2 linked regions of the Rhinolophus ferrumequinum genome follow. The protein of the gene in region 2 purifies or fractionates together with the protein of the main gene of each other region. This does not show direct contact. Links are inferred from orthologs where the notes say so. Each region holds a gene or a part of one and is shown on either strand. Other genes may lie near its edges.

Evidence for each region.
Region 1: the proteins of DDX6 (region 2) and ATXN2 purify together in Homo sapiens (affinity purification with mass spectrometry; 6 studies listed by BioGRID and IntAct, counting the BioPlex papers as one, with this or other methods). This does not show direct contact. The link is inferred for Rhinolophus ferrumequinum from reciprocal best matches to the Homo sapiens genes DDX6 and ATXN2.

What each region holds. Positions count from the first base shown.
Region 1 is NC_046308.1:6,922,609-6,926,351, forward strand, and holds the start of ATXN2 (ataxin-2), read right to left. Parts: upstream 2,134-3,743; 5' UTR 2,002-2,133; coding exon 1,793-2,001; intron 1-1,792. UniProt on the Homo sapiens protein: Involved in EGFR trafficking, acting as negative regulator of endocytic EGFR internalization at the plasma membrane.
Region 2 is NC_046294.1:88,089,405-88,093,147, forward strand, and holds the start of DDX6 (probable ATP-dependent RNA helicase DDX6), read right to left. Parts: upstream 2,369-3,743; 5' UTR 2,210-2,368; intron 2,201-2,209; exon of another isoform or gene 1,668-2,200; intron 1,557-1,667; exon of another isoform or gene 1,428-1,556; intron 1-1,427.

The DNA of each region.
Region 1 (3,743 bases), on a different chromosome or scaffold from region 2:
TAGCCATTTCATTTGAATTAGTTTGGCTAAGTAGCTTTTTGTAGGTGTTTCTGAGAAGGGGAAAAACTGACGGGGCGAGGTGGGGGGAGGAGTCAAAAAACCCAATGTCCCCATTCCCCCCATTGAAGGCTGCAGAATTCCTTAAAAATCGGCTCAGATTCATTTTGATGGGTAACTTCTCCTGCCATAAATGAAAATTCTCTGGAAATGGATTGCTGAAAACCTGTTTTTAAAAAGAAAACTCAGTGTACGGGGAAAAGAAAATCCCTTTATCCCACCTTCTAAAGGCCAGGATGTCGATTTGAGGAGGACCCTGGTCACCAACCCTGTCAACCCCACCTAGGCCTACGGGAGGCATGGCAAAGCCGGCAGCACGGATGGGCTGGGGCACAGGGGAAATGGACTTGCGTGCCCTTGGTGAGCGCTGGCGGCACTCCCCAAGTTAAGGACACTGGCCACAATGGAATGGAGTCTATTGACATTTGCTTTGAACACTAAGCATTTTCTTGGTTCGTGAAATACGAACTGACAACCCCCCCCCGCCACACACACACACACACACGCGCGCGCACACACACACACACACACACACACCGCCCCACAGGCCTTCCCGCACAAACACACCCTCCAGTCAGACCCGGTTAGCTGAGACGACACCGAGCCTTCAGTGTCTACCACAAACCTGGGTTATGGGGAGACGACGCAAGTAAACACCCGCATTTCTGCCACCATGTCTCCTGCTGCAATCCCTCTCCCCTCGAAATTTCAAAAACTGGGGCGGGGGTTGATACAAAATGCGCAGCGTGCCAGCTCCCTGCCGCCACCAGCACTAGCACCACCACGCCAGGTCCCCAGGCCGGCCCGGGCTTCTGACGCACGCCTGGGGCCGGCCCTCGCCCACCACTATTCAAAGGCGCCTTCTCCGCGGCCTCGGAACAGCAATGCGGCTCGGCCACCACCCGCGCCGGGGAGGCCTTGCGGGGGAAGGAGGGAGGCCGGGAGGGGGCCGGGCACTCCCCACCCCTTCCTCAGGTGGGGGAGGGCGGAACGCTGCGGGAGGCTGCACGGAGCGGGACGATTCCACGGAGTTCTGGAGCCCCCGCCGCCGCCTTGGATTTAAATGGGGAGGGGTGCGGGGGGGGCCACTGCCCACCCACCCCAACCCGGTCCTTCGATCTTTCCCAGGGCAGGGAAGGGGGAGGTTGAGGGCACTGGACAGACCCTAACGATTCCAGATGTGCCCGGTGGCTGCCCCGTTAACGGGGAGGGAGGGGGCGCTGCCCTAACTTTCCCCCTCCCTCGTTATTCCCCAATGGGGGAGTTGGCAAGTTTCGGAAGACGGAACCAACCCTAAAGACCCTTCCTTCCACATTAGTATTTAAGCTGGGGGTGGGTGCGCTGCCCAAGCACACCCCACTGGGGGCGGAGGAGGCCTAAGGAAGGTGGAACCGGGGCTGACAATTGCTGCGACCTGTAAACCGCTCCCAAACACTTAAATGGAGAGGAGGCGGCTGCCCAGTCCTTCCATCTTGACCGTTTGGGGGAGGGGGTGCGGGTGTTGCAGGAGGCTGGACACGGCCTGACATTCCCAGAGGGATCCCGCGGCGCCCCCCACCGAACCCCCCAGGCTCCAGACGGAACGGGAGCCCCACCCCCACTGCGGGCCCCCAGCCCACCCCCCCAAGCCCAGCGGGTCACGGGGCGGGGACGGCTGTGAGGGCCGCGGGGGAGGGGACGCGAGGCCCGGGCTTGTTCGGGCCCGGAGCAGAGGGGCCTGGGGCGCGACACCCACCTGCCCAGGCCGGGCCGCCCGCCGCCTGCGCTCGCCGCCGCTGCGGAGGAGGAAGCCGCGGCCGAGGACGACGAGACTGAGGGCGAGGACGGCGACGGTGCGGCGGCGGGCGACGAGAGAAGGCCGCCGCCGGGTTTGCGGGCACTAGCGGCCGCAGGCGGCGGTGGCTGCTGCTGCTGCTGCTGCTGCTGCTGAGGCTTCAGCGACATGGTGAGGGGCCCATACACCGGCCCGCACGCCGGGCGGGGACAGCCGGGAGCCGGGCGCGCCGAGGAAACGCCGGAACGCGGCGGGGACGCGCGGGCGCCGAGCGGGGAGGCGCGGGTTGGCGCGGCCGGGGGGACGCCCGGGCCGGCGAGAGGGAGAAGGAGGACGACGAAGGGGCGGGGAGGCCCGCTGAAACCGAGGAGCCGCCGGGAGCCGGGCTGAAACGCGCCGCCGCCGTTGCCGTTGCTACCAAAACAGTCTGAGGCGGAGGGAGGCGAGCGCAGCCCGGAGGGAGGGGGGCCGGGGCCGGGCGGGGGAGGGGCGGCGGAGGGATACGGGCCCGGAGTCGCGTCGCTGCCGCCCCGCCCGCCCCGCCGCACCGGCCGCGGGAACGAGCGCCGCCCGGGCCACCGAGTCGCGGCGAAGCGGCGAGGCTCGATGGTAGCTGTGGGGCCCCGAGGAGCTGCGGCAGCCGAGCGCATCGGGGGCCGCGCACAGAGAGGCGCCGCGTGGCGGTGCCGGGTGGGCGCGGAGGTGCGGGACGGGGACTCTTTACCGGAAGTCGGAAGGGTCGGACGGAAGCAGAACGTGAGGCGGCCCCAGGGCCGGGAGGGACACGTGAGGAGCGGGCGCCGCGCTGGGCCGCGTCCGCGGGGGTCGGGTGAGGGCCCGGCGGCCAGCCCTGCCCGGATCCGCCCTCCTCGAGGCGGGTCTGCCCTTTGGAGAGGGCGTGTCTGTCTTCGCCTGCAGGGCTGGCCTACTGTGGAGGACGGGAGGGCAGCGTTTCTTTCCCGCCCCCCAGTATTCCTTCAACGCCCTCAGACTGCTGGGGGAACCCGCGATTGCACCCACCTGATGCAACCTAAAAGGTGGACTGCAAGGGCCTTCAGGGCCGAGACTATGTTTTGCTACGTTTAAAGCACCTTCAACACAAGCATCTCACAAGTTTTCTTTGTATCCCCAGCACCTGGCACACAGTAGGCTGTGTCAACTGGGTGTCTCAAAGACAGGCCGTCATCTCTTTTCCTGCCAAGACCAACTGTGTTGGAATCGCACAACCTCCTGGGGCCACCCACATCTGGTTACCTTGTCCCCACTTTTTCCACCCCAGCAACACAGTAACCAGAAAACTCTTTTGGGTATCTGACCTTCATTTGAACCCATTTTCCCTCACTTGAACTTCTTTTTCCTCATTCATGAGGCTCTAAAGGAAATAAATGTACGTGATTGGTAGAGCTATGGATAATGGGGTCTCCTTCGGTGGAAACAAAACAGACTTCACAAGAATGTGCGAACTTTAGACCTTGGCCCCTTTCGAAGTTTTACTTTAACTTAGCTTGCTAGCCAGCACAGTAACCCGTTTTTTAAATGTGTTGTAATTGAACTGGAAGCAACTAGATAACTTTAAGTGAAGAATCTAGTTTTTAAAAAAAGTGCAATTACTTTAGGAAATGATAGGAGGAAAACACCAAAATTCCCCCTCAATCTCCCAGAATTGTCAGATAAAAAGATAGAGAGATAGAAAAGCCTGGAGAATGATTAAACCACGAATTTCCAGTAGCCAAATTGAAATTAATCTCCTTTATAATTCAGCCAGAAATGCTCATTATATTCTGCAAACACCTGAAAAGGAGGAAATCAGCTTTATCTCCCACCTTAGGTAAAAAGGAGGCGTGTGTGGGTTGGGAGGGGAAGTAGCATTCTTTTAAACCAGTAGTTGCAAAATCCTTTAAAAATTAACCCA
Region 2 (3,743 bases):
ATTTCTTACCAAAAATACACAAGCTTTATTAATTTGTGCCATATATAAAGTCTTCTCCAACAATATGTTTAAAATATTTCTTGAGTCTCTTACTTTTTAAAAAACTGGAAATAAATTTGCTCACAAGCAAATCCAGATCATCATACACACAGAGGTATATTTCGAAGTCTACCAGAATGGAATTAATCTCCTAAGCAGATAGTGGTTAACAGTCACCTAATTTCAGTTCAGGGCAGTAAATGGTATTCTGTATTGACAGGTTTATATTACGATCAACAGTATCGCGTAATTCACACCAGAAGACTTGTTTGCAAAGTACTAGAGGATGAAGGAGGCAACCTCTAAAGATTAAATGATATCATTACTGTCCATCAGGCATGTAACACTTCCTGTCTCCCTAGATCCAAATTGTGACTGATAATTGCTCCCCTCCTTAATTAAACTGAAACCTGCACTGCAGTTTTACATCTCAGAGAAAATATTCCTTCTATCCCTTCCCCATTTAGATTTGAAATTATATTTCTGCATTTTAAATAGTACGAACGAAACGTAGACTAGTTGGGAGGAGCCCCATACGGAGTTAATTACACCACTTCCCGGACTGTAGTTAGCAACTGACAGTTTCACACCCAAAACAGTATCGTCATCTCCGGCGAAAGCTTTGTTTGCAAAGGCAGCGCATTTTCTGTAGCTGGATCTGCAAGTTGGCCTGTTTTATTCTGAGGGGAAAAGGGGACTGTGGAAAAGGGAGTAAGCAATAAGGGAAGGAAACTAGCCAATGATTTGGACCCCCTAATTGTAGGACAATAATTTCTTGCTCTCCCTGTCGCCTCACCCCACCCACCCAAAAAAACCGCACACACATACACCAAGTCAGCTCTCTGTGACCATAAACACAAACGGGTTGGGGCTCTGCAATCCTATCTGCGCAACAAGAGCAGGGAACGAGCTCCGCGGGTAGGAAACAAAAGGTACTCCTCCTATGAGGCCCCAAAGAGAAACCCTTAACCCAGAAAGTCTTTCTTTCCTCCACGACTCGGAGGGGTTCCAGAATCACCCACTCGTTACCGACCTACAAGGCCTTACTTCAATCAAGCAGCTGCTGGTCCCCTTCTAAACGGAGCCCTCCACTACTGCACATCCCTGCCGCCCCCTATAGGGCCGCCTCGTACCCTATAACCTCCAACATCACCGTAAGTCCTTGCCGCCCCCATGGTCCCACATTCCCTCGTCTTCTACGGTATAAAGCTCCTCCGAGTACTTGGCCCGCTCCCTCTACAGACCCCGCCGCGCACAGCCCCATATTCAGACGCCTCCACCCCACAGAGCTGCCGCCTGCCTTCCTCCCCAGGGTCCAGCCAGGTCTTAGGCCTCCGCCTCAGTGTCCCCCACGCCGGCCGAGAGGCTTCCCGCAGCCCCGACCTCACCCCACTCCCCGCGGCTCGGGCCTGAGTCCTACCACCGAGGCCACACCCGCTCGGCAACCTCGGTCCTTTATTGTTGACTCGAAGCTCCCAAAATGGCGGCGGCTCCTTCCTCCTCGGAAACCTCCGCCCGCCCCCAACCGGCCCCTCTCTGCGGCCTCCTCCGCCCCCGCCCTCGCTCTGCTGTAAAGGCCGAGGCCCGAGCCGCCCGCGCCCGCCGCTCCACCCGCCGGCCGGCCTTACCGCCGTCGCTGCCCGCTTTCAGGGCTCCGCCGAAGTCACCGCCCGGGCTGAGCTAACTCGGCTCCTGAGCCCCCTCCCTCGCCCGCCGCCCCCCTCCCTCCCTGCCTCGCTGCCGGCCTCCGCATGGCGGCGGCCGCGACTCCTCCTCCACGCAAGATGGCGAGAGCTCAGCCACCGCCGCTGTGCCCGCCAGGGCGTCACGGCCTCTGCGGCTTCGCGGCAAGAGAATAGGGGCCGCGGAACCTCTCCCAAGAGAAAATAGAGAGCGGTGCTCTCACACCAACGGGCACCCAGCGGGCCCAGAACTGAGGGAAAGTTGAAGGGGAAGTACGGTTTCTTCTCAGAAGGGAAAGGAGGGCTGCTTTTTCCACAGCTGAGGAGAAACGACTAGGGAATGGTGACTGCGAAGTCCACCCAGCCTTCGCCCGCCCCCCAAAGTGGAAATCGAGAGTTGTGACCAGAGAGGATCTGCTTATTCCTGACCCAGGACGCGTTCGGAGAACGGCCTCTCCCGGCAGCGAATCGGGGAGGGGAGCGCTGACCTGACATCTCCCGCGGGCCAGGGAAGCTGCTGCAGGACCAAAGGGGCCGCGTCCGTCCAGGAACATGCAGAACTAGTGGCCGTGAGACGCCGGCGCGCTCGAGGGAGGGGGCCGGAAGGGGGCCCGGCGGGGACTGAAGGACACGACGAGGGGGAATTGCGCTGGGGCTGCGCCGGGAGGGGGTGGGGGGAGGGGGATGGGGTCCTAGGGCAACGACCTTCCTCCCGGCCCCAATAGGCTATCTTCAAAGAAAGAGGGGGCGGGGAAGGCCGGACCTCCCGCAAAGGAAAGGAAAGCCGCTGAGGAGTCGGTTATAATGGAAATAAGAGTTCTGTAGGGACATGGGGAACCGGAAGGCCGAGGGTGATTCTTTCTCCCGCCTGACCCTCACTGAAGGATATTTATGTATTTATTCTTATAAATACTTTTTATATCCTAATGTCTCCGTTTCCCTTAACAAAAATAACAGGAAAATTGTGTTCCAAGTAAAACAAAAATTCGAAGCTAGAAAGCTGTCAGGGAAAAGAAAAACCCGGGCCTCACCCGGCTGAGAGACTGAATATATAGGACAATGGCCAGACCGTGTGTGACTACAGGACCCCGACCCACAACCTCTGCTGCAAGCAGCTGGTGAAGACAAACAACAGCCCCCGCAGTAATCCGCCGAGAATGGGCAGGAATCAGTCATTGACTGCCAGCTTCCCCAATTTTTGCCCCTGCTTCCAACTCGGGACCAATCAGAGAAAGCCAAATATGTTCCCCAAACCAATCACACGAGACGCTTGGCTTCTAGGTACCGTAGCAGGCCTCTAGCTTCCCCAGGCCAACACACTCCAATCAGAGCATACGTGCAGCTTTCCCCTTTTCTCGCTGCCTGCCCTGAGTGTCCACGAAACTCAGTGTAGGTGGCTGGGTTCTTTGCTATAGCAAACTGTTCTTACCTGTTGGTCTTTGTTTATTTCCACACTGCCAATGGAAAGGTGGTAGAGAAATGTGAGGTTATTTTTGAGTTTAAAAAGACTCCCCCTACAATTTTTTAAATTCTAAAGTTGTAGCATGTCATCTCCCAACCAGATTTTAAAATACCCACTCGTGTAAGGGAATAACCGTACACCTTGTGTCCATCCTAGAGAGAGGTGGCTGGCTAGTGGTTGGCTCCTTTAAAATGTTAAAGTGTGAAGTCTTGTTTTCCTGTCTTTCCAAGTTGCAGGAATGTGAAGGGGAGGAGGGCAAGAAGTGAGTGGGAGGGAGAGGAGCCTAAGAATTTAAAATCAGGCTACTCACTGCCTGGTGGGATCTCTCCCTAGAGCACTAAGAAATGAGACCCGGCAAAGGAAAAGGGTTTGCATGCATAAATAAACTGTTAACTTCCAAAGGGGCCTGGTTGAAGTCCTGACCAAAAAAAACTGAGGGGGCAACTAAAAGTAAAATATGAAATAGCTGCCCATTCTCACCTAGGAATCCTGCCAGGGCTAAAACTTTTAAAGATTCTGTGTAATGTTCTTATAAGATCAGATATTCTTATAACTTATTT